Cricetulus griseus: one gene and its partner. The protein of the gene in region 1 interacts with the protein of each later gene in a pairwise test. Links are inferred from orthologs where the notes say so. Each region holds a gene or a part of one and is shown on either strand. Other genes may lie near its edges.

Region 1 (5,523 bases):
ACAGTGCTTTATCTACATCTTAATAGTGTGTGGTTCAGCTTAAATCAAAACCTGAAGTCTTCATGGTCTGGGGTCTCCCACTCAGCCTGTGTTGAGGGCTGTAGGAACACTTGCAATCCTGGAGCAGCCTGGGTCCTCCTATAGACCTGCTACATGCTGGGTTTGTAGAAGGAAATGGTATCACTCTGGGTGACATCATTGGTTCAGTGAACTAAAATTTTCTCTATTCCAACAAAAAGCTGTGCTGACTGAAGGACAAATATATTCTTTAAAATTGATTCTCATTCCTGTTTATAGCTAGTTTTGAATGTTTATTTTAGTTTTGAATGCTTAAATTATCCAACATTGTTTTCTTAACTTTAAATATAGTTATTTACTCACTCTTTTGAAATATGACAACAGATATTTTATTACTCATTCTTCTGTATTCAGTATTTTATTGAGGCTTTGATGTTTTTTGGCCGGGGGGGGGGGCGGTGTTTGTTTGGATTTTTCAAGACATGGTCTCACTGTTTAGCCTTGGCTGTCCTAGAACTTCCATGTAGACCAGGCTGGCTGGCCCCAAGCTCACAGATCCACCTGCCTCTGCTGACCAATGCTGGGATTAAAGGTGTGCATCGCTATGCCCATCTGAGACAGATATTCTAAAACAAGCTATCTCATCTCAGTATTGTGAAGTTCATTTGTTTGGGGTCTACAGTGCATTGTTTATGCCACCAGAAGATTCCCATAATTATAGAGCATCTCTCTCCAGAAGATAACTTCTGAAGAGAAAACACAAAGCACAGTGTGCGGTGACAGAAGTAACAGTAACGAGGGCTCCACTGTGACTGATGCCCGTGCTAAACCCTACAGAAATGTTAAGGTTAGAAAACTGTAAACGTATGACCCATGAGCTTTGCCTCTACTGCTCATCATCTGCTCTCATAGGCTTTGTATTCTGGCACCACCAACCTGGGCTACATTTGTTTGATTTGGGCTTTTCTTCCAGATAGAAGAGCTGGAGAAGCAGCTAGTCCTTGCCAATTCAGAACTCACCGAGGCGCGCACAGAGCGGGACCAGTTCAGTCAGGAGTCAGGGAATCTGGATGACCAACTCCAAAAGCTGTTGGTGAGCTCCTGCTCTAGAGTGTGAGATTTGGGTTAGGGAAGATGTTCAGCACATTACACAAGCCAGTTCACATTATACAATTACAGGTTTTACTGAATAGTGTGCATATACACCGGATATCATTCTACGGACTTCAAGTGGTTTATATAAGACATCTGTGTCTTTTTCCTTAGTTGTGGCTGTTACATGTTAGATAAGGTCTTCAAGTAGCCATAATCTTTCAATTAGAACTGCCATCTACTAAATTCAAGTTGTGGTATGTTCATTTGGAAGCAAAATGACATTCAAAACACAAGTGATGCACTTTCCATGTGCAGAGATTACAGGTGTGAGGTGCCACTCCTAAACCAAGATGTTTAAGCAAAATGTTAGTGTATCTTTCTAGGAAACAATCATTTTAGTCAGCTGTTGAAAAGCATTTATTTCCCCTAACCAAAGACTTCTCAAATTAAAAAACAGCAAGACCATGTAAGGCAAATAGAAGGATTTGTTTTGGCTGTGTGACAGTGTATGGGAGGAACAGCGCTCCTCACTTCTTTTAGGCAGATCTCCACAAGAGGGAGAAGGAGCTGAGTCTGGAGAAGGAGCAGAACAAGCGCCTGTGGGACCGCGACACTGGCAACAGCATCACCATCGACCACCTTCGTCGGGAGCTGGATGACAGGAACATGGAGGTGCAGCGGCTGGAGGCCCTGCTCAAGGCCATGAAGAGCGAGTGTCAGGGCCAGATGGAGCGACAGGTGAGGGAAAGTACGCAAGCTGTGCCATTGCCGGGTGGCAGGTGTCTTCCATGGGGGAAAATGTCCTTTGTGCCCTAATGTTCTGATGGCACAATGATTTAAATTAGTCTATTTGGACTATCCAGTTCAGGGTTTCACACTTTGAGTTAACTTGCCCATCCCCTCCCCTCCCCCTAAACCCCCAGTTGTAAAACTTTCTTTACCACAGATGGCAGCCATTCAGGGGAAGAATGAGAGCCTGGAGAAAGTGTCCTCCCTCACTGCCCAGCTTGAGTCCACCAAGGAGATGCTGCGCAAGGTGGTGGAAGAGTTGACGGCCAAGAAGATGACCCTTGAGAGCTCTGAGAGGACGGTTTCTGACCTGACAGCTTCCCTCCAGGAGAAAGAACGAGCCATTGAGGCCACCAATGCAGAGATCACTAAGCTCCGCTCACGGGTGGACTTGAAGTTACAGGAGCTTCAACATCTCAAGAATGAGGGGGACCACCTAAGAAATGTGCAGACGGAGTGTGAGGCACTCAAACTCCAGATGGCAGAAAAGGACAAGGTCATTGAGATCTTGCGGCAGCAGATCGAGAACATGACACAGCTGGTTGGCCAGCATGGACGAACCGCTGGTGCCATGCAGGTGGAAAAGGCTCAGCTGGAGAAAGAGATTAATGACCGGAAGCTGGAACTGCAGGAGTTTAAGGTCTGAGTGGGGTTTGGGTGGATTAGCATGCAAATTTTCTGTTCTCCAAGCAACAATAACCTATTAATATATTGAGAAAAATTGGAATTATTCTTGATGTTTATGGGGCTCCTAGAATAGGAAGTATCTGAGTTGCTATCATAAGTCTTTGAGAAAAGATCCCTACTGCCACTCTCTAAAAGGAATGTGTGGCTCCAAAATGGTTCAGGATTGTGGGTACAAAAGGAAAATAGCAAGGAACCCTCTCTCTGAATGTTCCCCAAGCCCACAGTGTGAGGTAGTCTTCATAGAGCAAAGTTTGGCCCCCATCACCTCATAATAACTATATAACATTGGACTGTTCACTGACTCTTAGTGTCTATGGAAACAAAAACACAGGCAAACAAAAACACAACTTTATTAGGCTATATAAAGAATTAGTTTCTTTCCTACTTCTGTTATCCCACCCAACTGTGTACCTGTCACTTCTGTGTTACACTGTGAGTTTAAATATTGAGTCTCCCGACTGCATGGGTGACTTCATAAAGCAAGGCACACACCTTATTCATCTTTGTATTTTTTGTTGCCACCTTCTTCCTCCCTTCTTCCTTCTTTTTCTTTGCTTCTCCTCTTCCTCCTCCTACCTTCTTTCTTTTTCCTTCTTCTTCTTCATCCCTCTTCTTCCTTCTTCCTCCCCCTCCTCTTTTGGAAGCCAGGTCCTATGGAATCCATTATGGAGGCTCAACCTGGCCTCAGGCTTGCAATGATCTTTCTGCCAAATGCTGGGATTTCAAACATGAATCATGTAATACTAAATCTTTTCTCTTTTTTCTTTGGAGAGAGAGTCTCACTATGTAACCATGACTGTTCTGGAACTCACTATATAGATGGGCAAGCAGAATAGACTAGGTGTGACCTTCAAACACGAACCCTAGTAATCTATTTCCGTCAAGTAGGTTCCACTTCCTAAGGCTTCAGAGACCCTAAATGCCAACCAAGAACCAGCCTTGTGAGCAGACCTGACAGACAGGAGCAGGCCTGCTATGTTAACACTTCTCTATACTCCAGCTCGTCTCAAGTCGAAGGCCCTCCCTCACATCTACCCCTCCCTCCATCACATCCACCCCCGCCCCCCACATCTCCTTCCCTTTGTGTGACACATAGTGTCACACATAGTGGTTCCCTGTCTCTCTCTTCACTACAGAAGACTTGAGGACAAAGCTATTATGTGGGTGGTATCCAGGCTTGGGCCTGGGTAAGGCAAGAGAAGTCTAAGATAGAGACCTCATGTGCAGGCCCACTTAGTCCTGGCTCTGTGTGTCCCCAGCATATGAAAAAGTACCCACTGCAGTGTGAACAGAGAATAGGAATAATTACAGGTTATGGCAAGTGATCCTGGGAATAGACACCTGAGTCTAAATGAATTGTAAATTATTCCTTTCTTCTCTCTCTTTACCACTTTTCTTTCTCTTTACCACTTTTTTTCTTTTTTCCTTTTTTTTTTTTTTAGTCAAAATTAGGAACAAGCTTGTTTCACATGTCAATCCCTTCTCCCTCTCCCTCCCCTCACCCACACCCCTCCTACCCCACTCCGACCTATCCCCAACCCCATCCACCCTCCACTCCCCAGGCAGGGTAGGACCCTCAATGGGGGCTCTGCAAAGTCCATCACATCATCCTGGGCTGGGCCAGGCCCTTCCCCGTGTGTCCAGGGCAAGAGTGCATCCCTTCACGAGGGATGGGCTCTCAAAGTCCCTTCTTACACCAGGGAAAAATACTAATCCACCACCAGGGGCTCCCTGGAGTGCAGAGGCTTCCTTATTGACATCCATGTTCAGGGGTCTGGATCAGTCCTGTACTGGCCTCCCAGACAGCATCTGGGTGATGTGTTCCCCCTTGTTCAGGCCAGCTGTTTCTTGGGTTTCACCAGCCTGGTCCCGACCCCTTCGATCTTCATTCCTCCCTCTCTGCAACTAAGTTCCAGAGTTCAGTTCAGTGTATATCTGTGGATGTCTGCCTCTGCTTCCATCAGCCACTGGATGAGAGTTCTAGGATGGCATAAAAAAGTAGTCATCAATCTCAGTTTAGGGGAAGAGCGTTTAGGTTACCCGCTCCACCATTGCCTGGATTGTCTGTGTCATCCTTGTAGGTTTCTGGAAATATCCCTAGTGCCAGATCTCTCCTTGGACCTAAAATGGCTCCCTCTAATATGGTATCTCTCATCCTGCTGTCCTCTATTCTTCCCACAACTCAATATTTCTGCTCCTCCATTTTCTCCTCTCCTCCTCTCATTCTGGCAGCTCCCTCTCCCCTACCCTCATGCTCCCAATTAGCTCAGGAGTTCCTGCCCCTTCCCATTCCTGGGGTCCATGCAATTATCCCTTAGAGTCCTTCATGTTTCATAGTTTCTTTGGTGAAGAGGATTGTAGGCTGGTAATCTTTTGCTCTATGTCTAAAATTCATATATGAGTGAGTACATACAATGCCTGTCTTTTTGTGACTGGGTTACCTCACTCAGGATGGTTTCTTCTAGTTCTATCCATTTGCCTGAGAATTTCAAGATTCCATTGCTTTTTTCTGCTGAGTAGTACTGCATTGTGTAAATGTACCACATTTTCTCTATCCATTCTTCAGTTGAGGGGCATCTAGGTTGTTTCCAGGTTCTGGCTATTATAAACAATGCTGCGATGAACATGGTTGAACAAATGTCCTCGTTGTATAAAGTGCATTATTTGGGTATATACATACCCAAGAGAGGAATTGCTGGATCTTGAGGTTATCCTCAAGATTCCCAGTTTTCTGAGCAACCGCCATACTGATTTCCAGAGTGGTCTTACAAGTTTGCACTCCTACCAGCAATAGAGGAGTATTCCTTTTTCTCCACATCCTCCCCAGCATAGATTGTCATTGGTGTTTTTGATTTTAGCCATTCTGACAGGAGTAAGATGGTATCTCAGAGTTGTTTTGAGTTGCATTTCTCTGATGGCCAAGGATTTTGAGCA
Region 2 (6,125 bases), on another chromosome or scaffold:
ACTACTGCCACCTTGTGCATGTCACAGGCCATCAGGTGACCACAGGAAGTCATCTGGTATATGATGGTGACTGGAGCTGACATGAACCCCTTGGCACTCACCTGACATGGGGAGATGACAAAGCCACCCATCATCCACCCTTGCCCAGCACCAGTAGGATAGCTATTGGCTATGCTCAAATGGGAAATCATTTTCTTCCCTCCAATGTTCCACAGGGAGGAAATACAACCATTAGGGATGAGGCCGAATTCTCCATTTAGCTGCTCCAGAGACTTTACAGGTGGAGGTAACCAGGTTCCTAGCTGCATCTAGGCAGGGGAACAGTGGTGGGGCAGGGGTGAGAGGATGGAGCTCTTTTTCACACTGAGCAGATATGGGAGGGGGTATTCAGAGCTAGCAGGAGACAGGCAGAGACGTGTGTTGATACCCCAAGGGTCCCTCCTCCCTAGGCCCATCTTGCCCTTTCCCATGAGTGTCCTCTAAGTTAGGCCTATTACTTCATGCTTACCTTTATCACATTCTACCTGAAAAGGTCCCTGATGGGAGAAGCTACCCTGCCTGTGTGGTGAGTGTATGCCAGAAGTGACTGCAGGAGTTCCCCAAGTCCAGTACAATTGTAACAGTTTTCTGATGCCATAAGTGCACATTGTATACCAGGAACCATAAGGACTACACAGGCTGGGACAGGTTGGTCTCTTTGCAGGTGACAGAACTGAAATTTAGAGAAAGCAGCTTGTTCCTGGTCAGTAGGGGCAGAGGTAGTCTTCAAGGTCAGGTCTTTCTGACACAGAGCCTGCTTCAGAGAATCCCTGCAAATCTGGGCCCTCACAACCTGTATCCCCCACCCCTGCCTCAAGGAAAAAGGAAATTTGTCCTTAGCGAGAATGCTGTGGTTCACACATCCTGTCATCTCCAGAACCCTGTGGCATATGAGTGGGGCTTCTTGGTTTGGTCCCTGGCAAAGCTGGGTACCCACAGGGGATTGTATGGCTGCAGTATGTCTCTAAGGGCCTCCTAAAGCCAGGAGATAAGCCCAGCCTGATACTGAGAGTGCCACAGCAGCCCCCACTTGCATATGGTGCCCTTTGGGGGCAACCAAGAAGTGCCTGCAGCCCAAAGCCCTCCCTGGCTGCTATCAACGAGGCTGGAGACCAGCAAATGTGGGTGGTGCTTGGCCAGCCACAACACCAACCCTGCCTTAGCCAAGTGAGAGCAAGGCCTGGCTCCTGTGGTCTTAGTGGGAGGCGTGGGGACAGCAGCAAGCCTGAGCCTCCTCACCCCCCAGGCACAGATGGTTCTCATTGCTCCTGCTCCTTCTTTCCTAGGAAAACAAACTAGCTCAGGGCCAACAGACCCGTTTTATCTCATGTTTGTTTTTGTTGCCCTTTTTCTTTGCCCAAAGCCACTGTACTGTGGGCTGAGTCTACAGGGTCTGTTTAGGGTGACCTTGGCATGGTGTCCATCTTCAGGCCTGGTGCCAGGGATGAAGAAAAACTGCCAAGGACATAGCCATTTTCTGCACCCTGACTCATCCCTGTACCATTGAGGGTCACAGCTACTTTTCCAAGAATATTGGGACTGGGCTGAGAGGGGAGCAGAGAGTTAGATGAATCTCAGTTGGGCTGGCTGTTCTGAGGCCTTTGGTGTGTCCAGTGGGTGCCCTGTGGCTGGTTGGCAGTTGGCTGGGGTGAAGGCTCCAGGGCTACTCAAGCATGGATGAAAAAAGATGACTGAGGGCTCCAGACCCTCAGGGTACTTGGAATTCAGAGGAAGATAGGCAGATGAAGGAGTACCAGGCTTCCAGGTGGGCCTCTGGTGTTCTACCAGTATGCTTTCCAAATGGTTGCATTCACAGGTACTGCCAACATGAAGTCTGGTGGTGAAAGCCCTAAGAAGGCAGAGACTTGCCCAGGGCCCCACAGCATGCATCCCCCTCCCTCAAGCCAGGAAAACCTGTATTCTTCCTAGCCCTGGGTGCATCAGCATGACCTGTAAGCCACTGAGGTTACAGGATGTGTGTGTGTGTGTCTGTGACAGCAAAGGCAAAAAGGTTTCAACACCTCAAGCCAGAGTGTCTTGAGTGTGTGTGTGTGTGTGTGTGTGTGTGTGTGTCTTGAGGTGTGTGTGTGTGTGTGTGTGTGTGTGTGTGTGTGTGTGTGTGGTGTGTGTGTGTGTGTGTGTGTGTGTGTGTGTGGTGTGTGTGTGTGTGTGTGTGTGTGTGTGGTGTGTGTGTGTGTGTGTGTGTGTGTGTGTGAAAGGGGGGAATAGCATGGCGGCACCCCAGGGGCTTAGCAGGTCTTCCGCCAAAGAAAAGGTCACCCAGCATTGCCCTCACTAAGACGAGGACGCTCCCTGCATGGACCTCAAAGATAGGGCCCCGCCCACCCCGCGGAAGGCGGGACCGCCGCAGTGGTGGCCGGTGGGCGCCTGCCCCTCCCCACCCTCTCTCCGCCTGGCGGCGGTGACATCACGGCTCGGGCGGGAGGGGCGGTGGCACCCCAGCACATCACTTCCTCGGCGCCTCGCGCGGACGCGCGGACAGGCGGACGGACGCGCGGACAAGCGGGCAGATCGGCGGGCGGACGGCCGCAGCGCGGGGCGGTGCTCCTGCTCGGCGCGTCCCCCGACTCATGGCGAGCCCAGCCCCGCCCGCGGCCGACGAGCTCCCGGGCCCGGCCGCCAGGCGCCTCTACTCCAGGTAGTTCGAGGACCGGGATGGAAACGGGGACCCGAGCGATGGGCGCGGGCGGGAGCCTGCCGGCCCAGAACAAAGGCTGCGGCGGTGGCGCGCAACGTGGCCGGGGACGCGCCTCCCTAGCTCTGCGCAGGGAGCGGTGGGGACGCGGGGGCCCAAAGAGCGGCCCCGCGGCAGAGGGGCTGGGGGCTGGGTTCTGCCAGCAACCTCATCCCTGTGCCAGAGGGGGTTACGAGGCGGGCACTCCTCCACCGAGCTCTGCGGGCCCCTGTATAGCCAGGGATGGCAGGGTTCGTTGCCAGGAGTTCTCCTCTCAAGCCTGAGACTGCCATGACCCGGTGCTGGGGTGGCATGGCCACGACCCAGGCTGTCATGATGGGGCCCTGCCTTCATTAGCTATCCCCAGCCCCAGGCTAGCAGGACCTGGGCCTGGGCCAGGCGGGTGGGTGTGTGCCTGCTTACAAAGGCACTTGCCTTCCAGGCAGGTTCACAGGTGATCCAGCGGTCTGTGCTCTGTGCCCACGCCCACTGGGGATGACAGGATAGCCCTGCCTCTGGTTGCATGCCTCCCTGGTGACTCCGGCCTAATGATAGTGTTCCCCATGAGGTGCTGGTTCCAGATGTGGACCCGGTGCCGCCAGTTCACTATGGCCTCTCAGGCAGAGCTGGAAGGGCCTGAGTGCTGGGCAGGGTCTGCAGTCTGTCGCCAGCCCTAGAAGAAGGCCTAGATCTCTGCTGTGAGCTTCTGATTCCCACCTCTTCTAAGCCTTCCCCAAATATGGGGCCTCCCTGCTAAGGGCCAACCTTGAAGAAAAATGTCCCAAGTGAGGTGGCTTATCAGCTAGCCAAGCTCTGTCCAGTACCCCCAAATATCAAAATGAGGGTTTGGTGGCTGGTGAAGAGACCTTGCCCTTCCCCCTTCTACTCTGCTGTAGCTCAAAGACAGTGTCCCCATTGTGTGGTGTTGAAGATAAAGCCGGAGCCCTATACTCTGCCTCCTGGTTATGGTGCAGGGGTAAGAGGTTTGCTGGCAGCTTCTTCCTAGAGTCCCCTGGGAGTAGACGCTGTGCAGAGTCACGTTTACCTCAGGACCAGCCACCTGTGAGAAGGAGGTGTCTGCCAGGCAGCGTGTGTGTGTGTGTGTGTGTGTGTGTGTGTGTGTGTGTGTGTGTGTGTGTGTGTGTGTGTAAGAAGGAGAGAGGGAGGGAGGGAGGGAGGGAGAATATTCAGAGCGCAGGTCTCCAAACTGTTCAGTTGCTCCCATTTCTCCCCTGTGGTGACTCACTAGGCAGAATTCAGGCTCTGGGTATCTCTCACTGGTTAGGGACAGTATTTGGGATACTGCTTGAGGCCCTGAGCTCAACCTGGCCCCCATCCAAGCTGAAACCCAAGCTGAGCTCAGAGGGTTGAGCTGGGACCAGATTTAAGCTGAGCAGCCAAGAACCTTCCCACAGAGCCTTCCAGGAGGCCCCTGAGTTATTTGGTCTCCACCTAGAGGTCACAGCCAGACCTGGACCTCCAATCTTTGGCTTTGATAGGCTGGGTAGATGTGAAGCAGAAATTAAAAATGTCTCTACATCAGGCTCAGAAACCTGTGGTTACTGGAACTAAGAAGGAAGAAATCCAAGCATGCCCTGTCCCCACGTGACACCTTCCCAGGGTGTCCAGGGAAGCTTGCGTACTGGCATGGGAGCCATGAACTGTGGTTGCTCAGGTACATGGATGCCTAGGTGAACTGGATCCACCTGATCTAAGAAGTCCTGTGGCTATTCTGGGCTGGTCCAGAATGTCTTGGTGGGAGACATTCTCTGCACCATCCACCTTCCTAGGAGCATCCCCGATCTCACTGAGAGGGTTTGATTCTTACAAAATGGGGCTAAGGAGCTGAGAGGACAGACAGATGTGCCCCTGATCTATCAGCTGCTCATGGAGTATAGAGGGGCTGGATCAGGAAGGCAGGGGCACTGAGAGGTGTAGGGGAGAGTAGGGAAGTTCTCTGTTGAGAATCCCTGATCCACTGGGGCCAGAACAGGGGCTTGGGATAGAGTATCCCAGAGAGATGAATGAGTAGCCAGGAAGTGTCTGAAAGTCCTCTCCTGGCTTCCCAGCTCCAGGAGGCAAGTAGCTAAGTGCTGAGTGAGGCTGGGAATGGAGGGTTAGCAGGTGAGCACACACTGGGGTGGCCTGACAAAAGGGGCACCAGGTGCCTGGGTATGGCATTCCTAAGTATGGGCAGGGCCTCTGTGGCTGCGTGGCCAAGCAGTGTTGGACCCCCACTACCACCTCTTTCTGTGTCTTTTCCCAGACGGGACCATTCCCCATCCTAGCCCCAGATATCCCCTGCGACCTGATCCTTGGATTCCTCCCCCTCCAAGAGTTCCCTGCTCCCACCATGCTCCCTCCCAGCCTTCCTACTTCTTTCTTTCTCTCTTCCCGTAGCTGTTGTTGAGGGAATGTCAGTGTGACTTCCCTCTAGGAGATGCTGAACAGGTGGGAGCTGGGACGGCTGTGAGAAAGGGTCTCTCAAGCTTTGGCCAGGGACCAGTGCCAGGTGACTGCTCTTCAGTGAAGGAGGTAGCCAAAGATTCAGGAGCTAGAACTGGAGTTCTAAGGAGCCAGCTGGTGTACCAGAGGATACCAGGAGCCTTAAGGGGACAGGCAGGTGAGATCAGGAGGCCAGAGGGCCATGAGCAGAATGTGGCTGGCACCTAGGGAGTCAGTTGCTGTGTCGGAGACTGGGATATGCCGATAGTGCCTGGTTCCTGGATGCTGCAGTCTGCTGTTCTTGGCATTTTTAAGTGAAACAGCACAAGGCTGTGATCCTTTTAAAGTGGCTCAATTGATAACATGGCTTGGGTCGGGGACCTCAGTGTAGAGGAGGGTCAGTTGGGTAGGCAGTGCTATCATCTTTGGTGAGGTGAAGGATTGCTGTTTACCTGTTCAGCAATGTCTGTCTAGCCAGATGACAAATCCTAGAAAGAAGTTGCTTACTCCCAGGATTGGGGTGTTGTGACCAGTGGGGGCACTAAGCTCCAAACCCCAAATAAGTTTGATCTTGAGCCTCGAGGGCAGGATTTCAGGTAACCCTTGGAGTGGACAGGTCTTTCAAAGGCCTCAGATAACCCAGCATCTGTTTGTTCAAATGGCTGCAGCCCCTGGGGCCTATGGACACCTTGACAGGTGACAGATGAGCAGTACCTTATGGGCCTGTAGAGGTGATGTGGGGGCACAGAGGTTCCAGCTACTTCTCTGCTCATCCACGTCAGACTGGCTGGGCCCCCGAGGGCAGGAGAGAGTGGAAAGCAAAGCAGGAATGTCAATGGGAAGGAAGGGCGGCCCAGGAGAGCCCCCTTGGGGGGTCCAGGCTGTACTCTGATACTCTTGGCCAAGGTATTCCAAAAGTGGAACTCCTGTGTCGGCAGAGCCTCAG

The links.
Region 2: the proteins of Ccdc158 (region 1) and Gpsm1 interact in a two-hybrid assay, tested with the Homo sapiens proteins (2 studies listed by BioGRID and IntAct). The link is inferred for Cricetulus griseus from reciprocal best matches to the Homo sapiens genes CCDC158 and GPSM1.

The regions. Positions count from the first base shown.
Region 1 is NW_023276807.1:157,389,489-157,395,011, reverse strand, and holds part of Ccdc158 (coiled-coil domain-containing protein 158), read left to right. Parts: intron 1-991; coding exon 992-1,111; intron 1,112-1,653; coding exon 1,654-1,851; intron 1,852-2,059; coding exon 2,060-2,542; intron 2,543-5,523.
Region 2 is NC_048599.1:137,705,385-137,711,509, forward strand, and holds the start of Gpsm1 (G-protein-signaling modulator 1), read left to right. Parts: upstream 1-2,507; 5' UTR 2,508-2,630; coding exon 2,631-2,698; intron 2,699-6,125. UniProt on the Homo sapiens protein: Guanine nucleotide dissociation inhibitor (GDI) which functions as a receptor-independent activator of heterotrimeric G-protein signaling.